Linked DNA regions of Styela clava. The protein of the gene in region 1 purifies or fractionates together with the protein of each later gene. This does not show direct contact. Links are inferred from orthologs where the notes say so. Each region holds a gene or a part of one and is shown on either strand. Other genes may lie near its edges.

Region 1 (12,872 bases):
CAAGAGAGAACAGAATTTTGATACACGTATTATGCATGGAGATTGAAAAATTCCCGTTAAAAATGAACTAGATACATATTCCTTTTTAGTAACATTTACTTGTGTTGTATTTTATTTTAGATTTATTCAAAGTGCGCTAAATACTTTGGTTGAATGAAGCCTTATATCAAAGTACTAAATTTAGATTCATTACAAGTGTGTATTATATGCGAAGAAATATGGTAATCAGCTCGTTTTGCCACTAACGAGACGCAATTTGGACCACACAGACCTATCTTATTAAAATAACCAGTCTATGTCACAGCAATAGCACGAAATATTAATTGAAGCAGCACATTTCGGACTGGGGGTCCAGATCCCCCAGTGGGTCGCGAAATGGCTCAATGCGATTGGTAAAAAAACTTTTTCAACAATGAGTCATGTTGAAAATAAAACATTGATTAAATTTGAAGGATTTGAAGCCAGTACTAAGACCCACCATAACTAAAGTAGCGCCAGGTTCGATATTTTGTGCGAGAATATGCAAGCACATCAGTTTCATGGAAGCTATTGTCCTTTTTATTTTAATATTCTCTGTATTAAATTTTTTTATGTTCGTTTTGGTCACGACTCACGAGGGTCACGAAAAAAATTGGCCGTGTCGAGTGAGTCATGTGAAAAAGGTTTGAATAACACTGATTTATATAGTACAAGGCCAACCAAGCTGAGCAATCTAAGTTAAATACAATCTAAAGAACAAGGCCGAAACATACATTGAAATTCAAAATGATGTTCAATAGCATGATACACGAGCTTACTCACCAAACGTTGGTTCATCCTCTTCGTCATCTTCCGCATTTCCGACCCCGGTAATTATAGAGTGACCCCACGGATCAAAACGGACAAAACGAACCTGGAATATATAAAAATGGATGATAGGAAGGTAAACTAGGTGTGAAGTCTAATGAAGAATGCTTGCGCAGAGCAAATAAATAATACAGGGTGTCCATAAAGTCCCTTTTACAATTTCAATTTTGTTATAATCAGTTCATAACAGTCATACCAGTCAGAAGGTTCGTTGTTTTTTAATCAATAGTTGTTCTGGTATTTTTACTTCATTTAATACATCTGTGAGGGCCAAAACAATACATGGTATTGATAAATTCCCTTCGCAATTGAAAAAAAATTAAGACATTATGGACAAAAAATTTGAGAAAAACTGAATATTCGATCCGCCTTATACATCCATATTTCAGATAGAATGACCTCACCCCGTGTGTAATACCTTGATTTGAAAGATTACGGTTCTTCCAAACTTCCCACCAAGTAATGACTACTTTTACAGAGACTTAGTCAAAGCTAGGGTGGGCAAAATTGAATCTTTTTTTTGAATCAAATAATTCAAATACTTTCAAAGAAAACAAAATAGTCGAATAACGAATATTCTTTCTACACAACAGGTGTCCAGAACATCGGAGGTGTAGATTCATGATCGGTTTAGAGGCGCGCTAGTTTTCCCGGTCATGTGGCACCAGATATCCGTTTAGCAACAATGCCATTCGAATATTTTAATATTCGATTCGTTATTCGAATATTTAGCGCGATATAAAATCTGATGATTTAAATTTTGATATGCTTTGTTGTGCACTCCTGTTTACCAGCTATACAGAGGTTGAGAATCAAAGCGAAAGATATAAATACATCATTATAAAATCCAAAAATTTAAATTTTGATTAACTTTGTCCTGTTTTCTGTCTCACCTTCTCAGATTCAGAGTTAGTTTTCACAGACGCAAACGGATGCGGCAAGCTCCAATCCCAAAAATGTATTTCATTTCCTGCTGCAATGGCTAAAACATGATCATAGGGATGAAATGAAAGTGACGCAATCGCTACCAGTTCGTTATTATCCACTGTCCAAGATTCACTCCCCTCACCCCGTAGATCCCACACCCTGACCTGAAAAATAAATAAATTACCATGTTGAAAATATTTAATAATATTCATTGAATGCAAGGCTACACACAGTTCTGAGAAAGTTATTAAGAACATTCACTCAATCGTATAAGAGACTCATTTCTGAGCAAAGTTGAAGGCACTCAGAAGTAAGAGAGACTCATCTCTGTTAGAAGTTACAACTGAAATGAACCAGAGAACGCAAATGTCAGATACCAATGGATCATATGATTTAGTTTGACCAAATTGAAGTTTCTTATATTTTAAATTAAGAATTTACTGCATAAAAAAAACTAATTCTTAAAATATTCATTTAGTATTAACATTGCCGCCTGTGAATAGTTAAACCATGTTTGAAGTAAAGTTGTCCCTCCAATGCGACTTTTCTTTCATTTAATATTACACATATCCTCCTTTCAAAGACATATCATCAAAAAATAAACTCTTACCTCTCCATTCAGGGATCCTGTAGCAAGAATTTCATTTGATCCAGGATGGAAAGTAACGCACCATGGCGAACGCTCGTGACCAGAAAGAGACTTCACCAACTTTTTAGTTTTCAAGTCCAAAATATGGATATTGTGGTCCCCATGGCAACTCGCTGAAAATTTTTTTAAAATAAATAAGACAGGCAAACATAACGTCCTTATATCTAAGATTTGTCCTTATTATCAAAGGGTTTTTATTGGAAAAAATTTTGTCCTTATTTTGACATTTATCCCCATTTTTGTTTTATTTTAGAGGTAGAGCATCTTATACCGGACACTTAGTTTGGTCAATTCGAATGATTGATTTTCTAGAAATGAAATTAGAACCTCATTGATTGCTACGCGCCTCGACATGCCTCGATTTCAAAACTCGCTTATGGCCTATAAGAACAGCCTTCTCACTTTGAGTTACTGTAATTTTGGTTAAAACAAATTTTATTAAAAAATGGTTGTTTCATATTAGTCAGTTAATTTTGAGGTTTTTAAAAGCACTACACGCCGCCTAGTATTGAGATTTTAAAAAAATTGATGGTTTGAAAAAAGGTTGGAAACCACTGGAATAGACAACACATACCACAGGTCTATTCTCACAATGAGCGTTCAGTAATTTTAGTTCTTGTGAAGGTTTTCAATAGGTTTGGTATGGCAGTAGGTAAATAAAGCCCTCACTATGTGTTAGAGATTAAATTAAAATCACAGATAATCATTGAAGAAGGTAATTACACAATTAAAGTGTAGGTGTTAATTAGGAGGAAAAGGCCATTAATTAATATGGTAAGTCCTTGCCCGACTGCAGACTCGAAAAAAAAAATTTTCTTTGTAAAACCAGAGTTTTTTTTTTATTGAGAAATTCGGCCATAGCATAGTTATAAACACCCACTCAAAAGTGAAAATGGAAGCCGAAAGATATCCTCATTTGATCAAAACAGAAAAACAAAGAGGTGAAAAAATTGACAACAACAATGCTTTTGATTTAGACTGTGTTTATTCGACCAGACAAGCTTAGATGATTCATAAATACTTTTAATAATTACTTGATTAATTTGTTGGCATGATTACCTCAACCTAACCAGAGAAATAAGTGGAAATTGGCAGCATCAGTGCTTGTGATTTATAGATTGATTCTTCTGACCAGACATGCTTCAATGAATCATGAATACTTCCAATATATACCTGAGTAATTATTTGGCAAGATTTGACCAAAACCGATAAGCAAGAAAGTGGAACTTAGCAGCAACAGTGCTTGTCATTTAGAATATATTTATTTCGATCAGTCACGATTCAATAAATTATAAATACTTTTATTATAAACCTGATTAATTTGTCTGCATGATTTCACTAAAACAAAGAAATGAGATAAAATTGACAGCAACATTGCTTATGATTTAGATTTAGATTTTTCCAAGCAGTCACAATTCAATGATTTATGAATATTTTATATATGCTAGATCAAATTTGTTTGCAAAATTAACTCAACTTAAACCAGAACAATAAAGTTAAAAATTCACAGCAACAATGCTTGTGATTTAGGAATTGGTTATTCCGACCAGTCACGCTTCTATGATTCATGCATTTTACTCCGAAATTGATTAATTTGTTTGCAAAATTAACTCAACTTAACCAGAAAAATAAGTTAAAAATTCGCAGCAATAATGCTCGTGATTCAGGGAATGGTTATTCCGACCAGTCACGCTTTTATGATTTATGAATACTTTGAACTACAAACTTGACAACTTTGTAAGTATAGTTAACTCAACCTAACCAGAAAAATAAGTGAAATTGGCAGCAACAGTGCTTTTAATTTGAATTGAATACTTTTAATTTTGATTTGAAGAATTACTTCACTACGACATCCCAGTAGCTTAATAAAGCTCTCCAAAGTGTACGAATGGTAGTCCAAAATGTGCAGACAATCACCCAAAATTGGAGGCGCAGTTGTTACCGCTTCATGGCAGCTCCTGCCACGAACGAACCGCGGCAGCTCTTGCCATGGTTTTATAGCGCTATTCAGTATTCAGTAATCAGTATTAACGGTATATATTCAAACATTAATGTACCAGATTTTAATTGATCATGTGGAATTATATCTACTTAAACCCTAACCCTAACCCCAAATCCATCAAAACTGTATCCATAAGAAAAAACATTCCAACTTACCCAATATTTGTCACCATAAGGGACAGCCCTGTCTTTACGGCCCACCTGCCGTGGTTACGTAATTGGTTTGTGGCAGCTAAAAAGTCAGTCGCCATAGGTTTGGTCGTAGCGGTCATGGTATGAAAATACCGCGATGGTTTTGCGGCAGCTGCAGACGCCACAGAATACTTAAAACTGCACTTGCAAAATGGAGCAAGCTATTTCTCTTGTTTTCTCATCGCAATGATCCCGATATGAGAAAGATCGCAGGCGTTAGTGGGTTTGTTATCGGCAAATGGCGTTCTGGGCGTTAAGAAGTATGCTACGCCCACCGGAAGTACTAAAAAATACCAGACCCATGATTTTGACCAGTCTTATCAAGGGTTTTAGTGTAAAAGCTACAACTTGAAAAAAAAAATAATACGAACCTAGAAGAGTGTTGTCCGGGCTGAACGCTGTGATAAACGTAGTCTTCGTCCTTGGAGGAAGTTCGAATTTCGAGTTATCCAAATTTACTGACGCAACTACCCGGTCTCCGTAATGTCTTAGTGGGCTTCTGTGTGAATTCCAACCTCGTAATCCAAGAGAACGATTCCTTTCTGCTATAACTACATTTGTTTTTATAGGAATAATACTATCTTGCCATGATGTGCTATTATACATTGTTTAAACCTGAAAAGAAATGTTTTTAGCTTGAAAATGCATAAGAGAAATGGAATTATCATATTCCGGCCAGGAATATCAAGACAAAAAATTGCAAATACTGCAACTTTCAAAAAAAATTTCGTCGTTATGAAAAATCGTTATGCTGGACAATCCGTATGTCTTATGGCTCAATTAGCTTTCAAGATATATTTTGAAAAAGGGGGCAAAATGTGCCCCTTTGCCACCGGTATGTGAACTGAAAAGGCAAAAATAAATCTTACGATAATACTGTAATATGTGTTTGTATAATATGATTTTTATATTAGGTTGAACAAGAACGGATTTTATGTAGTTTTACAAAATAAGACTATAGTGCGAAAAAATATTCGAGAAAGCACATTTGTGATAAAAAAAATTCTCTTATTGAGAATTCAGTAAAACCTTGTTTGCATTATTAAATTCAAGTTGAGTATGAAAATACAGGAACAGTTCAAGAAATTGGCAAAATTACAATTGTCTTGTTGGTATCAACCCCTTTGACAAATATATCTATTATTCAACTTCACAGAAATATACATATAAGTATAGAAGCTAAACTACAACTTTAATTTGACCCAATGATATGCATAAAAGACCATAAAATAATTGATAAAAACTGATTGCAGAATACAGAATCAGGAAAACAAACAAAACTTTATAAGATTCAAAGCATACAGAATATAAATTAGAATGTTTTGCCAAAGAAAGTAGTTTATGTTCACTCAATCGATCAATTTTATTCCTGTATTTCGGTGACTGTAGCATTAAACAAAAACAACAACAAACAAACGCAGAAGACCTGGAGGATGAGCAAGGTTAAAAAATGGGACAAGTCTGCATGTACGTGCTAATCCACCAAAAACTTGAATTGAGTAACTCGCCTAAACACAGAAACACTCACCTAAAAGTGTCAAATTAATTTATACAATTGTATCACTGACAGACTGACACACAGAACCTTTCAAGTCAAGTTTATTTTTTGCAGCCAGTAAAAAAAATATCACAAGCACAAATCACTAGAAAGTGATGATACATCGTACACAGTTCAGCAGTTTTACTGGGGAAGAGAAGGCGCTAGGAACCAAAGCTGGTTATCGAGCAGCGACACCCTGGGTTCTAATATTTAATTCAAAAAGTTAGAATTCTAGAGTTTTGAAACTATTCATTGATATTGACAGTGAGTAGGCTACTGTATCTGCCTATGAAATATCTAAATAACACCATTCATTTTAGGTAGGATAATATTAAATTATAATAATCGCAAGAAACTCAAAATGAATTACCCTAGTCTGCATACAGAAATAGGTAGACTATACCGGTAGGCGTACGGTACCTGCGTACGGTAGCTAGATAGAATTTATTTAAATTAATTCGGAAAAACAAAGCAGCCCTAGGCTAAACATACAGACATAGTCTAAGATTATTAAGACGAATAATCTGGAAAGTGAACAAACCTAATAAAAAAGGTTTAAAACTATTAAAAAAAAAAGAAAACAAATCACAAGTCTCATCACAAACACAAACAAATAAACATGGATATTGACGGCGGTCATTACTCCAGTACGGTACCTACCGGTACTCAATGACCGATAGGTAGGTACCGTCGGTACGGTAGGACCATAATACAGTAATATCTGAGTACCGGTATATCGACGAATAACAAAACTCAGTGAGAAGTTCACCACCAAGATATTCTGACCACAATCTGGCGCAACGGTATCGGGTAAGGGGCGGGGCAAAAGCTGCACTACAGCTGTAGAGCAGGGGAGGCCAAAACCGGATTCGATCTCCGTCCCACCTCCGGGGATATTCAGGATTGGATTCTTCTTCTTGTAGTTTTGTGGGAAAGGTCTTTTGTGGGAATAGTCTTTGGTGAGAATGTAGTTTTCTGGAAAGGTCTTTAGTGAGAATGTAGTTTTGTGGGAAAGAATTTTTGTGGGATTGTATTTTGTGTGGATGTAGTTTTGTGGGAAAGATCTTTTGTGGGAAAAGTCTTTGGTGAGAATATATTTTTGTGGGAAAAGCCTTTGGTGGGAATATATTTTTGTGGGAAAGATCTTTTGTGAGAATGTATTTTGTGGGAATGTATTTTGTGAGTATGTAGTTTTGCGGGAAAGATTTTTTATGGGAAAGGTCTTTGGTGGGAATGTAGTTTGGTGGGAAAGGTCTTTAGTGAGAATGTGGTTTTTTGAGAAAAGTCTTTGGTGAAAATGTAGTTTTGTGAGAAAGGTCTTTGGTGAGAATGTAGTTTTGTGGAGAAGAAATCTTTCAAGATTGTAGTTTTGTGGGAAAGATCTTTGTTGAGATGTAGATTTGCGAGAAAGGTCTTTTGTGAGAATGTAGTTTTGTGGAAAAGATATTTTGTGAGATTGTAGTTTTGTAGGAAAGATCTTTTGAGAGAATGTAGTTTTGTGGGAAAGATCTTTTGTGAGAATGTAGTTTTGTAGGAAAGATCTTTTGTGAGAATGTATTGTTGTGGGAAAGGTCTTTTGTGAGAATGTATTTTGTGTGTATGTAGTTTTGTGGGAAAGATCTTTTGTGAGAATGTAGTTTTGTAGGAAAGATCTTTTGTGATAATGTAGTTTTGCATGAAAGGTCTTTTGCGAGAATGTAGTTTGTGATAACGACTTTTTATACCGAATGAAAATCAGTAAAGCAAATGAAAGCCGAAAAAAATTCGGTACTCCTATAGTATGTGAACCAAGATGGCGAACACCAGAACTTAGTATGTGTACCAGGAATGGGTTAGTCCATAATTTCGGTACAAATACTACGGGAGGCACTTGGTTAGTCACCGAACTTGTAATAGAACTAAAATGAAGAAAATTGAAATAAAATCATGACCTAACCTGGTACACATACTATGTTCATGTGTCCGCCATCAGCCTTGTTCGGAACAAATGGCACGAGTAAGGTTCATATTACGTCATTACACAGGAAAACTGCCCTCTCGAAATTTGAAACTGGCTACGATCGTGGGCCATAAATAATGGAAGCTTGAGAACCACTGGTCTGGTCTAGGATTCCAACATTAATTTCAAGGCGGAAACGATACTTCGACCTAGAGGTCTACTTTTAGTTCCATGGAGAGACATCAGAAAAGGTTACTTGCGAAAATTTCATCCATAGTTTCCTGCTTCAAGACAGATCCATCCCTGTGGAATCTGCTCTAACCACCAACTACGCATTCCATACGTTACGGTAGTGTTTGCGCATATACCGGTATAGTCTATATATACCGAAAATATAATAAAAAGAATGGTTATAGGATCAGATAGGCATAGTAAACACACATGAATTATAAAATCTAGATAATTTGAAACAAAAAATGGCCTGGTATGCGCTTTTTCACTAGAAAATATATTGCAGCAAAAGGTCCGGCACAGAACTCGAGTACGTCTTGACCTCGATTAGTTGAGTTTACTGAAATTTCTCATAATGCAATGGTATTATTCAAAGATATTGGTATTGATTTAATTCACAAAAGCTTCCTCCAAATGCGCCGCCCAATAGAACTAGCACACGGTTCAAAATGAGTACACAGAATGCTATAATTGCCTTTGACCTAATGCAAAGTTTCGCCGACGAGTTCTCATCACGGGTACGTCATCAACGGGACCTAATTTGCGTTTGATTTCGGCAGAGTTTGGGAAACCCTGGACTCTAGTCGGTCTATGCGCAGTCGTCAGCAATTTCGATATTCCTGTTTTGTCAAACTGCACAATCAATTATTGTCCCATTACCAAGAAACGCCAAACCAAGTCGACATAATTTGATAAAGTGGCCATTAAGAAAACAGGCAATTAAATTTACTTCAAATGCGCACAAAAATCGCCCGTGCGAGTTATGCAGACAATTTTCTTATCTGATTATCGACGCAACAATGGAATGTCTTCTGCCGCTTTTTGGATGATTATAACTCACAAAGTGTTTTGAGGCGATAATCGGTTGTTAACGAATACTCAGATTTCCGGTACCTTCGGCAGTCCAGGCTACAGAATATTTTAATATTGAAAGAATCGCAATTGAGGCGAAATGGACTACGATTATTGTAAATATTGGGAATTAACTAAGTTTGTGCATCTGAAACGAATTAGGATAAGGAATGCAAGATAGAGATTTATTGTTTTTAAACCCTGGAAGAGAAAGGGGTAGTGGTTTGCTATTAGCGATAAAACTATTTGTAACTTATTAAAGTGTGGTCTGACCTGAAGAAGTCTGATCTTGGTCAGACGAAACGTTACAGAAATATATTTGTGTTATTGTACAGCAAGACTCTTGAATCACTTATGTTAGAGGGGAGTGTTTGAAATATCATGTGGGGTGTTCACCCCCTACAGGAGAGATGTAGGAGGAGCATACCATCGATATGCTTACTTTGATGCGGATTATCTTAAGGTAAGTTAGTATACGGCAGTATTTCCCGACCTATGGGTCGCCTGGAAATCTTCTTAAGTCGCTTCTGTTTTCAACAACACTTGGAAATTTTTTATTTTTCAGTAAAGTTTATTTTATATTTGGTGTTTTAGTTTTTCTCAATAGGAATCGTATACGCGGAAAGTGTCACAGCATAAAAACTTTGCAGCATTTATTTGGCTTAGGTGAACCCACCCCACGATTCCAAAAACTCGCTGATGGTAAACAAGTGCAGTTTTCTCATTAGTGCAACTTTGAATTTATTTCTGTTGAAATTAATTTTATGTTATAATGGCTGTTTTATATCAGTCATTCAATGAGCCACGAAAACCTTATATACCGTTTAGTATGTATATCCTTGGGTATCGAGATTTTACAAAATATATATTTTTTAAGTTTGGATTGCTTGGAAAAAGGTTGGGACCACTGGTATAAGGTATGCCATTCCCATTTCCCGGCGTTTACCCATTAATCTAACCTAAAAAAAATACAATAAAGTAATGGCAGTAGACAGCTTAATACTACCTTGTTATTGCTTGTTATTTTTTTGATTCTGTTAATTTTATATTGTTATACCTTGTTATTTTTTTGATTCTGTTGATTTTAAGATCAGTTTGTATATATGATATTTTTCCCTATAGGAAACCCTACATGCAGGAGAAGGCACGGGCAACACGTTGACGGGATGAGTGTGTTGCTTAGTTTGATGATTTAAATAATATTCATACAACCATTTCACTCTTACTTGACTTTCAATTCTTTTTTTCTCATGTATAACCAGATGTAAAATTTGTTTATCAACCGAATTATTTTTGAAGTTAGGTATAAGCGGCTTCATTATCAGAAAGTCGCACAGGCAGAAGAAAAGTTTTCGCACGTTCCTGTCTATATATGTATCATGTAGTCAAATCTGGCGAATTTTAAAAACAAAACAATACAACCGTAATCTCTAATTGCCCAAAGAGTATTGATTAATCAGGCGAAATTCGAGATGTCATGTCTGGCTGAAAAACGAACTATCGACCGGTGTTGTGTAGGGTGCGTAAGTTGAATTTAGAGTCAAAGCTACGTGAAACTAGTCCGTGCCTTATTCCCCCGTGTAAGTGCATCCATTTACGTCTAATGCAAGGATACTGTAGCAAGAGTGAAGATGACCGTTCTGCGGCACACTAACACGAAGTCTGACCTCGGCCAGACGAAACGTTACAGATCAAATATCGTCGAAATAGTAGCAATGTTTGTCGAAAAAGTAAAGGATAAACTTAATAAATAAAATCAGAGAGAGAGAAAAGCCTATATAGTTCAGGTGAGTGAACACGTACTATTCTTTTGGCCACACGATTCACAACAATTCTTATTCAATTTTTTTCACAACGAGAACGCGCGGTGCAATAACACGATAGTACGAAAATAATCCCACTGAGCTGAAATTTAGGTACTTCCATGTATGTGTACCAGGTTAGGGTTAGTCCATAATTTTATTCCGATTCTCCTTATTTTGGTTCTATTATCAGTTTGGGGACTGTCTGTGTTAGCCAAGTGAATACCTTGTGTTCATAGGTTTCAGTCCCTTTATACAACTTGATGCAAAGTAGGCGAACAAAATTTGTTACCTCCATATTGGTACTATTATATACAAAACCTGATGTTTTTTTACGACGCGTTTTGCTCCGAACGAGGTTTGTACAAGTAGCGACCGATATCCAACGATACGCTATTTTAGGAAGGACCAGAAATGTTTTTTTGGCTCGAGATTGCCAAATCAATTCACTTTGTGTGAGATGGGTGCACGTTATTTGATTCCGAAATGTCTAACCTGCGAAGCCACACGATTAAGTTTTACGCTTTAACAGCTATCGCCATCACTTGCGCACAGAGGGTTAATGCCTTGAAACAATCGGTCCTTCCAAAGTTCGTAGCTTTTCAGATACCAGTGGGTTCCTGCGCAAGGTCTTGTTTCGAGCGAAATGCGTGGATATGCGCAAGTCTGGCGATTTAACAGCTTTTGTGCCCATATGAGCGTAGAGGGTTAATATTGAGATAGAATCGGTCCTTCCAAAAATCGTAGCCAAAGCTTAGAAACCAATCACAGTTTTTAACAGAGTCTGACGCTTTAACAGTTATTGTTCCAACACGTGCGCGCTGAGGGTTAATACCACGAAAGTAAACGTTTGCCGACGGCAAATTTTATCTTCTATGTTCATTCGAGCGATTTCTCTCGACTATTTCGCTTGTTTTATGAAACAGTTGCGGGTTGCCAGGTCAGGAATAACGTATAGAGTAGCGTATTTGTTATATGTGATGTCAATAAAGTCTTAAAATATATAAAATTGCAAAAGGAATTAATTTATTGATACCATTTATTGTTTTGGCTTTCACAGATGTATTAAATGAAGTAAAATACTTGAGCAATTACCGATTATAAACAACAAACATGATTGAGATATATTAGGAACTGACTTCATAACAAAATTGAAATTGTAAAGGGACTTTATGGACACCCTCTATATAGAGATGGTTATATTTGATAATTTAAGGACGGGTTCTCTTTTATATTGGACTCACTAACAACGGGTTCCTTCATTCCAAAAAATGTAGGTATTGCACTACGTAAGCTACATTAATATGACACGCTTTACATAAATCTAATACATAAACTCTTTATTTGCTTAGAATACTTGAATGTGTTTAGCTTTCTAGGCTAATTCGAAGCTTAGTGTTTGTTTTATTCGATGTGAAATAAATTATTTGATAATATGTGATAGATCAGGAAAGAAATAAGAATTTAGATGAGAGACCTCAGTGGTGATTAGAGCTATTACAAAACCTTCAGCAAATCGCGATAGCACATTTAACTGTATATTTTTCAAAGCCTACGTCTTTTTTTTATAATTAAATAAAATCGATAACCCCAAAGTTTGTCTCGACTTTATCTCAATTCCAGACAGTCTGTATAAATTATGCTTAAAGGATGTATTCTTTAGTACATGGGGTGAACAACTTAAATTGGGATGCTTGCCGAAGTCTTTGAAATAAACCTGCTGTGTGCCACGCCACGTTAGAATAATTCATGTATGGTATGCGAACTTTTGCACAACAGATAATAGCAAATAAATGCTTACTTAAACTATTTAATGTGCTGAAAAACTGCTGCTTTGAAGACTATTGGCGATTTACTGAAAACTGTTTTTAATAATCCTTTCTCCAAATGAAC
Region 2 (12,006 bases), on another chromosome or scaffold:
GTTGGAGTCGCAGAATACACATTGTGTAGATTCACACAATTACGCATCACGGGTTCAAATCCTATGTGGAACCCCCCTGCTCGTAGCTTGCGTCGCCCTGCACGGCCGCTATCCGTTTGCGGGGACGTGGTAACTGATCGAAAAGTGGATTTAAACATTGAACCGCAGACATGATTCCGGGTATATTATGAGTGCGAAAGCTGATTTTTCACTGTGTCCCATGTGGCCCACCTCCCTCTACTTATCAGTACGCTGATGTAACAAAAATCAGTTGTTTATTTTCCCACTATACATAGAAGGCACTTTGTGGATTAATTATGCAAAAAGAAGTAAAAATGGCATTTCTGGGCCAAGGGAGGCGCGTGAACTAATGAAAAGCGATACCCGTGATTGAGCCTGACAGTCAAGTCCTACACTATTCAGCTAGTTTTAGGTTTGATATAAATGTGGAACCTAACCAAACAGCGAATAAATATTTTACCAATAATAATGAATATTTTGTAACAGAAGTCGTTCTCGTTTTCAGTGTTTTTTAATACTTTAAACTTTTTTTTAACAGCTTTACTTCTCACTGTATTTCTTCAGCCAATGGCTTTTGGCATTTTAGCTGTCGCCTGTAGCTCTGCTCAGGGATAATTCTTTTCATATTTAAAGTGACTATTCTATTTAATTCAAGAGTCTTGCTAGACACTTACACAAATATATTTCTGTAACGCTTTGTCTGAACGAAGTCAGACTTCTTCAGACAAGCATTTTACACTTGTGACAAGAATCGCAATCGCATGCACATAATGGTATCAAATGCCGAGAAGCATTGCTTCCCTGTTGTTCTGGCATTGTCCCAATCCTAGTTATTTCTTTCTATCGGAAACAGACCCAACATTTGATACCATTATTTATGTGCATGCCATTGCGTATCTTGTCATAGCTGTAAAATGCTTGTCTGAAGAAGTCTGACCTCGGTCAGACAAAGCATTGCAAAAATATATTTGTGTGTGTAGCAAAACTCTTGAATTAAAGAGAATAGTCATTTTGACTTTTGCTACAGCACCCTTGTGTTATACGCATACGGATCCAGCTGTACAAAGGCATAGATAGAGCAAGAAAAAGTAGTTAGTTTCACGTGACCCCAACTGTTAGTTATTTAAAATGTGGACCGGCCCTTACAAAAACAAGTGCCTGCATGTATATGGCTTTGTTAGGGCGGGGATTTTAAAAAACGCCGAGAAATGCACGACACTGACGCTGGAATGTCACTCAATATCGCGCTATTTGGAATGTTATTCACACATTAAATGGACGATGTATCCCAAACATATAAATTTCTAGGAAGTATTTTTATAGGTACTGAAATACACTATTTGTATTAGCAAGCCTGACATAATCTTGGTCGATGAGATTTGGCCCCTTTAATGTTAGTCACACACCACTATGCAGGGGGGTTTGACAGTTACAAGTTTATTATATATTTCAGTCTTTTACCAGACCATTTCTCTACATTATGGCTTCCCAGACTTTCAGGCTCGCGAACCCCTCTAATAAATTCAAATTTTCCGGGAACCCCTGTTCCCAGTAGCGGGCCCCTAATCAGACCTCACAATCAAGGTCGACATTGTTATACAAGGGCGCAGTCTCTCTAATCCTATGTGTTGAAAAAGAGAGTTTTTGTTTCGCACTAGTTTTAATGATTGTGTTAGAGTCAAAAGTCTAAAAAAGTACAATAGATATAGTACTTTATGTGAAATTGCTGTACTCCCTGCGACCTCCGGTTTGGAAAGATCTATACCTCCCTTGCCTCGGTTCCTCACAAAGCCTCAAAATAAAAAATAGTTACCTCACAGCTTGGCAGTAATTTAATGGCATGATTTTCTCAAATCAATCACAAGAAATTATTGTTGAACGTGTAACAGACTTGCAACAATGGTGCACGAGAGAGTCGATGAAAAATGAAATTAAAAACTGTGATAGCAGCGGGCATGTAGCTAGCTAGAGGATATAAACCAGGGATGAGCAAACTGCGGCACATCAAAGCATTCTGTGCGACCCCTTGCCTGCGAGAAGTTGTGAAAATGAAAATTAACTTCGATTTGGCAATTAATTTGTATCATTTGATATTTTTACTTTGCCATACAACAAAAATCTTCAATTGGGGATATTTTACATACTAAATTTTAACTTATTAAGATATGGTAACTATATGATAAAAAATAAACACCCCTTCGCTAAAATATTTTCCGAATGCAGCCCATGCAACCAACATTAACCCCCCCTGGTATAATCCATATCTTGAAGTTTAACATCAAAATTTCCAAAATTACTTTTGCACTGGCTCACAGGACAGCAATGACACAATTACAAGTAAAAATGCAAATCAATAAAAAATGGAATTATTAAGTTCAAAGGTCAGAGTTCAAACATTGGCAAGGTAATTGAAAATCGTGATGACCCTTTCAGGTATGTTCCATAATCTTACAGGCTGAATAAATCAATTGCAAAATGGACGATAATTGTAACACGCTTTGTGATTTCCTATTAAAAAAAAGATAATTTCACATTATCTAAAATTATTAGTATTTGGCTGATGGTCAGACAGAAAAAAAACTTCCAAGTAATTTACGACACTCTCAAATAACATGAAATCGGTCAGAGCAATGTTTATTAGGGGTTGCATCACTGAATTTTCAAGTTCCATCAAGAATTTCTGCAAATTTCTTTGCAAACATGACCCAATTTGTTATATATCATTTCAAAATGTATTTAGAATTGTAATTATTTATTTTTAAACCCCCTGCCCTAACAACCAAATTAAAACTTGAAGCATCAGATCCATGTGATGGAATATGGACCTGGGTGAATGTTCAAGACTATAAAATAGCAGAATGAGACGTCCAGTGGTCCAATTTTATTAAATAAATTAAAAATGCCTGATTTATCTGGCTCTGGGTAGCCATCATTTTAAAATGCGTTGAAATCTGAATGTTGAACTCTGTCTGCAGTGTTTTGAATCAAGTTCATAGGCAGTTAATTGAACTATCTCAGTTGAGGGACGGTCTCTGAATCTTAATAATTCAGTGTGGAAGATTTACATCATCCCACCCATTCCTCCCATGCCCCCCATTCCGCCTCCCATACCACCCATAGGTGGCCCAGCTGATTCATCTTTCGGCTCTTCTGTGATGACAACTTCTGCAGTTGTCAATAACGACGCTACTCCTGATGCGTCAACAAGAGCTTGCTTGACTACTTTTGTCGGGTCAATGATGCCAGCTTCCATCATGTTACAATACCGGTCTTCACGGGCGTCGTACCCATAATCTCCTTCAGCTTGAAGTAATTTTTCTGCGATAAGTTGACCTTCCAATCCAGCATTGGAGCAGATAGTTGACGTAGGAATTCTGAGAATTTTCCTCACAATGTCGACCCCAATTTGTTCGTCCTTATTATCGACCTCAATATTTTCAAGTGAAGGCGAACAGCGGAGAAGAGCGATTCCACCTCCAGGAACAATTCCTTCTTCGACAGCTGCTCGTGTTGCGTTGAGAGCATCTGTGACACGATCTTTCTTTTCATTGACTTCAACCTCGCTTGAACCACCTACTTTTAAGACGGCGACGCCACTGGCAAGTTTAGCAAGACGTTCATTCAATTTTTCACGCTCATAATCGCTTGATGTGTCTTCAAGTTGTTCTTGAATTTGAGCGATCCTGCGTTCGATATCGTCCTGTTTCCCCGCTCCACGTAAAAACAAAGTATCATCTTTGGTAATTACAACTTCGCCAACTTTTCCTAAATCATGGACTTGAACATCTTCTAATTTTAATTCCATGGCTTCGTCACCGAAAATGATTCCTCCAGTAGCAATTGCCATATCTTTCAGCATATTCTTACGGTTGTCTCCAAAGCCTGGGGCTTTTACAGCAGCAATTTGTAAACCAACTTTCAAACGATTTACGACGAGGGTTGTAAGAGCTTCACCTTCAATATCTTCTGCAACTATAATGAGAGGTTTACGTTGAGCGTTTGCAAGTTCGAGCGCTGGTACAATGCTTTGAATAGAGGTTATTTTCTTCTCGCTTATCAACAAGAAAGCATCCTGGTACTCGACCTTTTGACCCTTCGCTGTGTTGATGAAATAAGGTGAAATATAACCTCGATCAAATTTCATGCCTTCAATAACATCCAACTCATCGTTCAAAGTTTTTCCATCTTTTACCGTTATGACGCCATTTCTGCCGACTTTTTTCATAGCTTCGGAAATGAGATCGCCAACCTCCTTATCACCGTTTGCGGAAATGGTTGCTACTTGCGCAATTTCTTCAGGTGTTGTCACAGGTCTAGATAATTCTTTTAATGCATCAGTGACTTTCACAACCGCTTTTTGAATACCTCGTCGAACATCGATTGGATTCGCACCTCTGTTAATTTTCTCCGAGCCTTCTTTCGCAATTGCTCTTGCGATTATCGTAGCAGTCGTAGTTCCATCACCCGCTTCGTCGTTGGTGTTACTTGCAACATCTTGTACAAGTTTTGCTCCAATATTCATCAATCTATCTTTGAATTCTATCGCTTTTGCGACAGTAACTCCATCTTTGGTTACTTTTGGCCCTCCCCACGCCTGCTCAATAATAACATTACGACCTTTAGGTCCCATTGTAACTGCTACCGCATCCGCAAGTTTGTCAACCCCTGCCAACATTTCCTCCCTTGCAGGTGAACCAAAAGAGACAATCTTTGCGTAGCCACGAACTGCAACCATCTGGCTTGCTGGCTGGGCAACTTTTCGAACCAATTGTGGAACTCTGTGCATTTTTATATTTCTTGTTTTCAGATTATTAAATTTAATGAAAGCTGGAAGTGCAGGTCTACGTTAACCTGGTCAAAACTACAACTGTAATAAATAATAAGTAAATACTGAAAGTTTAATCATTAAATAACAACTGTTGGACAAAAATATGATAAATCTCGCTTGTAAAAAAATTTGATCAAGGTCGTTTTTTTCAGCGTAACATCATTCACAATCAGAATTACTTATATGTAGTTGCCAGAATATTCTCATCCTAATGAGCAAATATATAAATGCTATTTCTGCTTGATTTCACTTCAGGCGGTTTGCAAACAATTTTCATAAAATATTATAAAATCTGAGGTATCAATGGTCTTAAATTGAACAGATGTACGATCTAGCATACCATAAATCCCAAAAACTGCAGGGTCGAGGCAGCTAAAATCGTGTCATATGCAATCTGATGCATTTCAGGACTTTAGTTTATTACAATTTAAATCAATAAAACCTGAACCGGAATAATTAAGTTCAAAATCACATAGGCAGCTAATGGGAAACTTTTATTTATTTATTACCTTTTATTTTATTTATTATATATCGACTATTCGAATTTGAAAAAAGTATCTGAGTACCGAAAATTGAGATAATAAATAGGGTGGCTTACCCACTTTGCAACCACGACCTATTTGCGACCATCAACTTCATCAATTAAATTAATGCCAAAAAAACTAACGAACCGCAACGATATTTCTCACACGTCATCGTCCACTTATCCCCTGTAGCTCTGCGAAATTACACTAAAATGCGGCCACAAACAAAAAAGTAGCGACCGAAAAAAAAAACGGACCATTTTTCTATGTCGCCAACTACCCATTGTCCCTGAAAAAAGCTTGAAAAACCATACAAATAAAAGAGATAAAAAGATGAAACTTGGCAAGTGGGTAGAGTTGTGTTTCTTTTAACCATCTTTAAAGTTTCGCGTTTCTACATTTAAAGGAGGGGGAATTGGAGGGTGCGCATTTCCAATACGTCGATAATATCTTTGTCGACCAATTTGTGACCACCATGTTTTTTTTTTTTGATTGCTGTGATGCGGTGCTTTGTTTATAATTTGACGAGTTTTGTTCGAAATAACCGTGTTCTTAAAATATATGACGGTCAAAAATGCAATTAGAAGGCCACTTTTTTCACACATGGCTGCGTATGCCCTAGTCTCGACGCAGCAGAAACGATGTTCAAGGCTTGAAATCCGTGGTCGCACACTGGTCGTTCGGTCGCAAATATGTCTTCAGAGTGTCGTACTTTTGTGGTTTGTATAGCTTTAACCCCTGGTCTTAAAAAGGTAATTCGAGGTTTAGCGTGTAGATTAAATGCCAATGCACCTACGATGCAAAAATTAACAGGTTAAAAATATTGGTTTTTCAGTTTTATATCGGTTTGAATGAAATCGTCCGCAGACTGGCTACACCACCCTATCAGCAAATTCTATTATATTTACAGCACCTCATTAGGTTGAAAAATTTTAGGGTATGATTCAGATATTTTTGCAGGCTAAAAGACACTTTAAATGAGGTGAGTTGTGGTGAATAAACAAATAAATTGGAAAATTGTGACAAACCAATAATTAGAACAAAAAACTATTGATGTTAAGGCAGCAATAAAACTGCAAAAAAATTGTTACTAATCATTTGATACAGAAAGGTGGTTTATTAATGATTTATTAACATAAGATAATTTCTTTAAGCACCTTAAATTCTTAAATTGGTGACACAAGACAAAAATGTTAAAAATACACAATGAGTTACAATCAAATTATTTTTTCTGCATTTGTAACATTTAATAATCAATGTTTTTGGTTTCAATTTACTTCAATAAGACATTCATCACACACAGACTCTGCATTATTTCAGAATTTCTAGCATCAAATTATTTTTGAATACAGACAGTACGGTATCGTAAGGGCAGTACTGCAGTACCAGACTGGATTCCATGGCAGGTGCACGCCCGAGGGCGCTAGCGCTCCGCAAAAATGCACGCGAGCGAAATCAATTTTGCACGTCGAAAATTTGCAATTGCTCACCAATGTAAATCGGTTTAAATGGTTTTAAAATCAATAATCCAGTAATATAAAGATGCCAAAATATTATAACTCCACAATTGTCGACAAATACCAGCCTGCAAGATTTGGTCTGATCGAAATATTGCGAAGCAAAAAGACCATGGACCTTTTCCCAACATTTGACCCGCGAAAAATTCCTCTCATTGTTACGTCCTTTTTTGCATCTTGCTGATTGGCCAATGTCACGAAGTAAACAAGGAAGTCGATGCTCGGGGAAAGGTCCATATCGTGTTGAATGATAGGAAATAGGTATCCCGTGAGAATAGTTATGGACGAAAAGATCGCCTTCGCACCAATGGCCAAGTACGGCTCTGATTCAGCGTATTTTTCATACAATAATTTTACTCGAATGTACTGAACAGTACCGGTATCTAAAGTTGCTCAAACACTCCCAAAATTAGTGACAAAGTATGAAAATAATGTTTGGGGTCAAAGGTCAAACGTCCATTTTGCTCTAATTTGACGTATTTTTTATCCATTAATTCTACGTAAAAACACTACCAAAATTAATGACAAAGTATGTCCATTTTGCTCTGGTTCAACGTATCCAATAATTTTACGCGGATGTACTGAACAGTACCGGTATCCAAAGTCGCACAAACACTCTCAAAATTAGCGACAAACTGTAGAAATAATGTTTGGGGTCAAAGGTCAAACGTCCATTTTTTCTCTGATTCAACGTATTTTTTATCCGATACCGGTAATTTTACGCGGATGTATTGAGAGGTATCTGATGTCAAAGTCAGTTGCACGCGAGTGCAGTTGTTTTGCACGTCGTGAGCTATAATTGCACGCCAGGAATTCTTATTTTGCACGCGGGAATTTCTGATTGCACGCCCGATTTCTCGTTCAAAAAGGCCATGAAATCCAGACTGGCTGCAGTAGTCAATTCCTTGAGAAATAAAAATATTTGGCTTCAGCACTTTCAGACTTTGCAGAAACCACAGAAACAATCCTGCGATCAAGACTCCTCTCCACAGTACAGCAGTATGAACACTTAACTCCAGAACTCAGTGAAGAGTTACCGATACCATACTTCAATCAATCAATTTTATCTGGCCACTCTGATAGAAACAAAACACAAAACAACAACGAACGGACAAACAAAATACAAAGGAATAATTTGCTGCTTTCACTATTCTAAACGTTTTATACATTGGTTTGCTTTGAGCAAACGTAACTACAAATATCTTACAGTAATAACGTTAAATAGCTTTCTAACCAAATACCTCATTCCGACATCAAGATATTCTCGATCACAAATCGCAGCAGCAATAAAAGAAACGCTTTCTGAAAACAACCGACTGTGTGACTGCGCGCGAGACAGACACGACGGAAGGTCGATCGATTGCACAACCGGCGATCACACGAGCACGCGTTTCTTTTGCAGAAAAATCCAGAAACAGGCGTGGATGCATCCAGGCGTATCGAACTCTTGCGTCGCCTCGTGGCAATTCTGCGTAAGGTTTCACATCATATTTATTCGGGAGATCGTAGGGAAGTCGATAAACCTGAATAATTATATGGCAAACCATGGAATTTCGTCCGGCTATCAGTTCGAATCAATTATAGAAATAAGTAACTAGGTATTTTTCAATCAGCTTGGTAATATCTCCTTTTAAAGGTGCCGCTGATCGATAACCAGTATTGGTTACTCGCGTCTCCTTCACCCTGAAATATGGCCTATTTATAATTTAATTTATTGCAATTTGTATGTTTGTGCCTGTTTTAAGTATGGTGAGGAATAAACTACTGATTGAGGAATATTTTTCTCTGCACAGCATATCCCTCTTGTTGACTAAATCGGTATCCAATTTGGCAATCCTCATAAAATCATTAAATCGGTGTGGCGAATAAATTTAGTCATTTTTTACTCGTTTGTATATTTTTCTTTTTACTAAGTAATTGAATTTATGTCTCGCTTTTTCGCTTCCGATCTTATCATGTCTCGGTGATTGTAGGTGTGTGTGTATGTGTGCGTGCATGCCTTAATTAGTTTTAACACTTTTGGGAGAGCGAACACGTACTACTTCCTTTATCTATAACTTCCCACCTAAAATCTGTACGCTTTATACTTTACTTGAGGTTTCGTTTGCTTTCCCGATTCTATAATCAGTTTTATTTATTTTGTTCTCATCAATTTTCTTTATCGTCTATTATGCTGATTATTAAGCAAAAACGACTATATTGTGTTTAGCAGTTCGTGAACAAGGTTACCGGATTACAGATGTATATACGCGCATGTTGGAAGACCGTAACCTACTAGTAGCGAGTACGAAATGTTCTGAGGACGTTTAGCTATAATTTATTAAAATACAAACGGCTTTACCTCAATACCTTAAAATTCCATAACATATCTGCAATCTCCCAATGGGGATATCAATTGTTTGTTTTATTGCTTTTTTTAATGACAAAACTGGTCAAAATCTTAGTCTAATTGTCTGATTTGCAAACAGTGGGATTAGATCAGGGTTGAGCAAATTACGGCACGTGGAGTGTTTCATCCGGCCCACTTGTGCCCGCTGAAGTTATACGACTATAGTTTTTGGAAATATAAATAAATATATAGCGTACCGCAAAATAAATAATATCTCACGCAAAATCCAAACCTGGATGTAATCAATGACATTAAACAATGTTGTTTAATGTCATTGATGTAATTTACAAATCTTCGCCCTGGCGGGTCGCGAAGCATTTCCAAATGTTACATACAATTTTCAACAAGATCAAGAAATTGTGGCATTATTATCACATAACAATAACCCTTATGACGCAATTTACCAGTTGTTGAATTCGGGTAAACAGTAGCCAGTAAACCGGTTTATGTAGTCGTTAATTTTATGTCCAATGAGTTCCATTTTGAATACTGAGTAGATCAGGGTTAATATACTTTATCAAAACACCCTAACTTTGTTTAATTTTTGTAAGAAACAAAATGGGTAATTTTTAAACAGAAAAGGTAACGAAGTAAAAAATCTCAATAGATTACAGTGAAAAACTTTGATTCGGATTACGTCAAATGTGGTTTTATTGAGGCAGGAAATGACTTCAAAATCACAATATGTTGAGTGTCAATGCTACGTTGGCAATGAGCCCCTATCAATCATCCACTTGATCTGCTAATATCAAATATACAAGCTTAAATTTTGCATCAATAATATATTGCATTTGGATACCTTGTATCTTTTCTAATATATTAACACCCCATTGTGAGTGACAAAGAAAAAATGGCGATACAAGTGGGTCACGAAGTGGAAAAGGTTAGGAAGCACCGCAATATATATTTGTTGTACATAAGCTGTTACGATATTTTTTTGCAAATAAACTGTTTCTATTCATGGGCTTTTCATATCGAGCATCCGGCCCAGTAAGCAATCTATCATCTGGAACTAGCCCACTCCTGGATTAGATAGTTAAAAATAAGAACTAGACGGCTGGTTTATTAGGGTTAGGAAACAAGCCTGGCATTGCACCTCCGTATGAATACCCACAGTTCGCAAGCTTGAATCGCAAGTTAGGATCGAGGTGGGATGTACCGGCAGTTATGTTAGGGTGGTTCGCGTCACCGCTGGTCGGTTATGGCTTCCTCCACTATGAAGCTTATGCTCCAGAAAACAAATATTTAACTAATCCCATATCCGACATGGAATGGTAACAGACGGGAGGCCGTGGTTCGTCATAAGGTTTGGATAGGATTTACATATTTATCCCGGTGGAGGGGAAAGCCGATAAGACGGCTTAACCATATGGCGAACCACGGCCTCTCGTCCGGTTACCAGTCCATGTCGGGTATAGGATTAGTTTTAGTTATCGAACCAGCGGTAACGTGAACCACCCTACGACTGCGAGGAGTCCAGCTATCCTCTCGCACATAACTAAGCCCTATTATCCCTTTGCTATCTCCCGGGATAAATATTTAGATCCTCACACATTCCAACTATGCTCAGCATGACATCCTGGTTACATAATTGTCCTAGACGTAGAGGCCGATCCAAACTATTATTGGAAGTCTGTAAAACCGCACAAAAGTAGGTTCCCCGAAGTTGATTAAGGTCAGGTTTTATGCAGACTGAAATATATTTACCAGTAATATATGGCAACCGTTAGTTAGGGTCAAATGTCACCTCACCAGAATTTATTTTATGTCGTCCTGTGCTGTGTCAGTGTGTGAACCGTACCGGCAATGCATTGGTTACCGCACCGTAGTATAATTGAAAGATTATTTCGACTCCATAGTAAGCATAGCATGTGAAAAAATCAGCATAACATGTGACAAGCACAATATTGTATAAATGTGCTTGCCATATCATGCCTGATGAAGTTTTTCTGAATAGAAATTCGAAACATCGGCAAATTGAATCGTTTTGCTAACACCAGTTACCGGTACTGAGTTATGCTTTATTTATCATCGATATGAATATAGCTGGCTGCCTGGTGGCAATCTTGCGCTATGTGATAAAATTATATTTACCAATAAAACTAATAATTTTTCCTAATTTGTACAAACACAGAAATTATAAATAAATTGGACAAGTCAGACTACACAACTAACACAGATTAAATACTAAAATAATGACAACTGATACTGTACTGGTACCAGCACATATTGGCTGTTAAAGAATTATCCAATATTTGAACTTATCTTTATAAGAAGTTGCTGAAAATTGATATTTTTGCAGAAACAGAAATAAAGTTTGCAAAGTTATAAACCTAGGAACCTTGTATTGTTTATGTCAGAGAATCAAAATAAATGATTGATTGAAATGGAGAAAATACCTGACTGGTAACTTTCACAATCCGCACTCTGACTGGAGTCCTGAAAGTTGAGACCAGAAAAATTCGGAAAATTTGCATACTGAAGCAATAATATCGATACAAAAATAACTGACATTGTTATTTGTTATCATGATTATGGTAATGTGTTCCGTGTCTGTACCAGTATCGTTAGTGGGGGCAGGATGAAAGGAATATATTTATAAATTCATATACCATTGGAATATAGTCCTGTACTACTAAATCTCATGGACTGCAATACTAGGATTTACTCATCTGAGGCCTATACAGACCTAGCAAGAGAAGGACCTTCATACAGGAAATTGTAAGT

Evidence for each region.
Region 2: the proteins of uncharacterized protein LOC120327688 (region 1) and 60 kDa heat shock protein, mitochondrial-like purify together in Homo sapiens (affinity purification with mass spectrometry, with the first as the bait; 3 studies listed by BioGRID). This does not show direct contact. The link is inferred for Styela clava from reciprocal best matches to the Homo sapiens genes AMBRA1 and HSPD1.

The regions. Positions count from the first base shown.
Region 1 is NC_135256.1:1,559,411-1,572,282, reverse strand, and holds the start of uncharacterized protein LOC120327688, read right to left. Parts: upstream 5,252-12,872; 5' UTR 5,222-5,251; coding exon 4,987-5,221; intron 2,536-4,986; coding exon 2,384-2,535; intron 1,938-2,383; coding exon 1,740-1,937; intron 893-1,739; coding exon 802-892; intron 1-801. UniProt on the Homo sapiens protein: Substrate-recognition component of a DCX (DDB1-CUL4-X-box) E3 ubiquitin-protein ligase complex involved in cell cycle control and autophagy.
Region 2 is NC_135251.1:7,879,571-7,891,576, reverse strand, and holds 60 kDa heat shock protein, mitochondrial-like, read right to left. Parts: upstream 4,918-12,006; 5' UTR 4,808-4,917; coding exon 3,083-4,807; 3' UTR 1,833-3,082; downstream 1-1,832. UniProt on the Homo sapiens protein: Chaperonin implicated in mitochondrial protein import and macromolecular assembly. Together with Hsp10, facilitates the correct folding of imported proteins.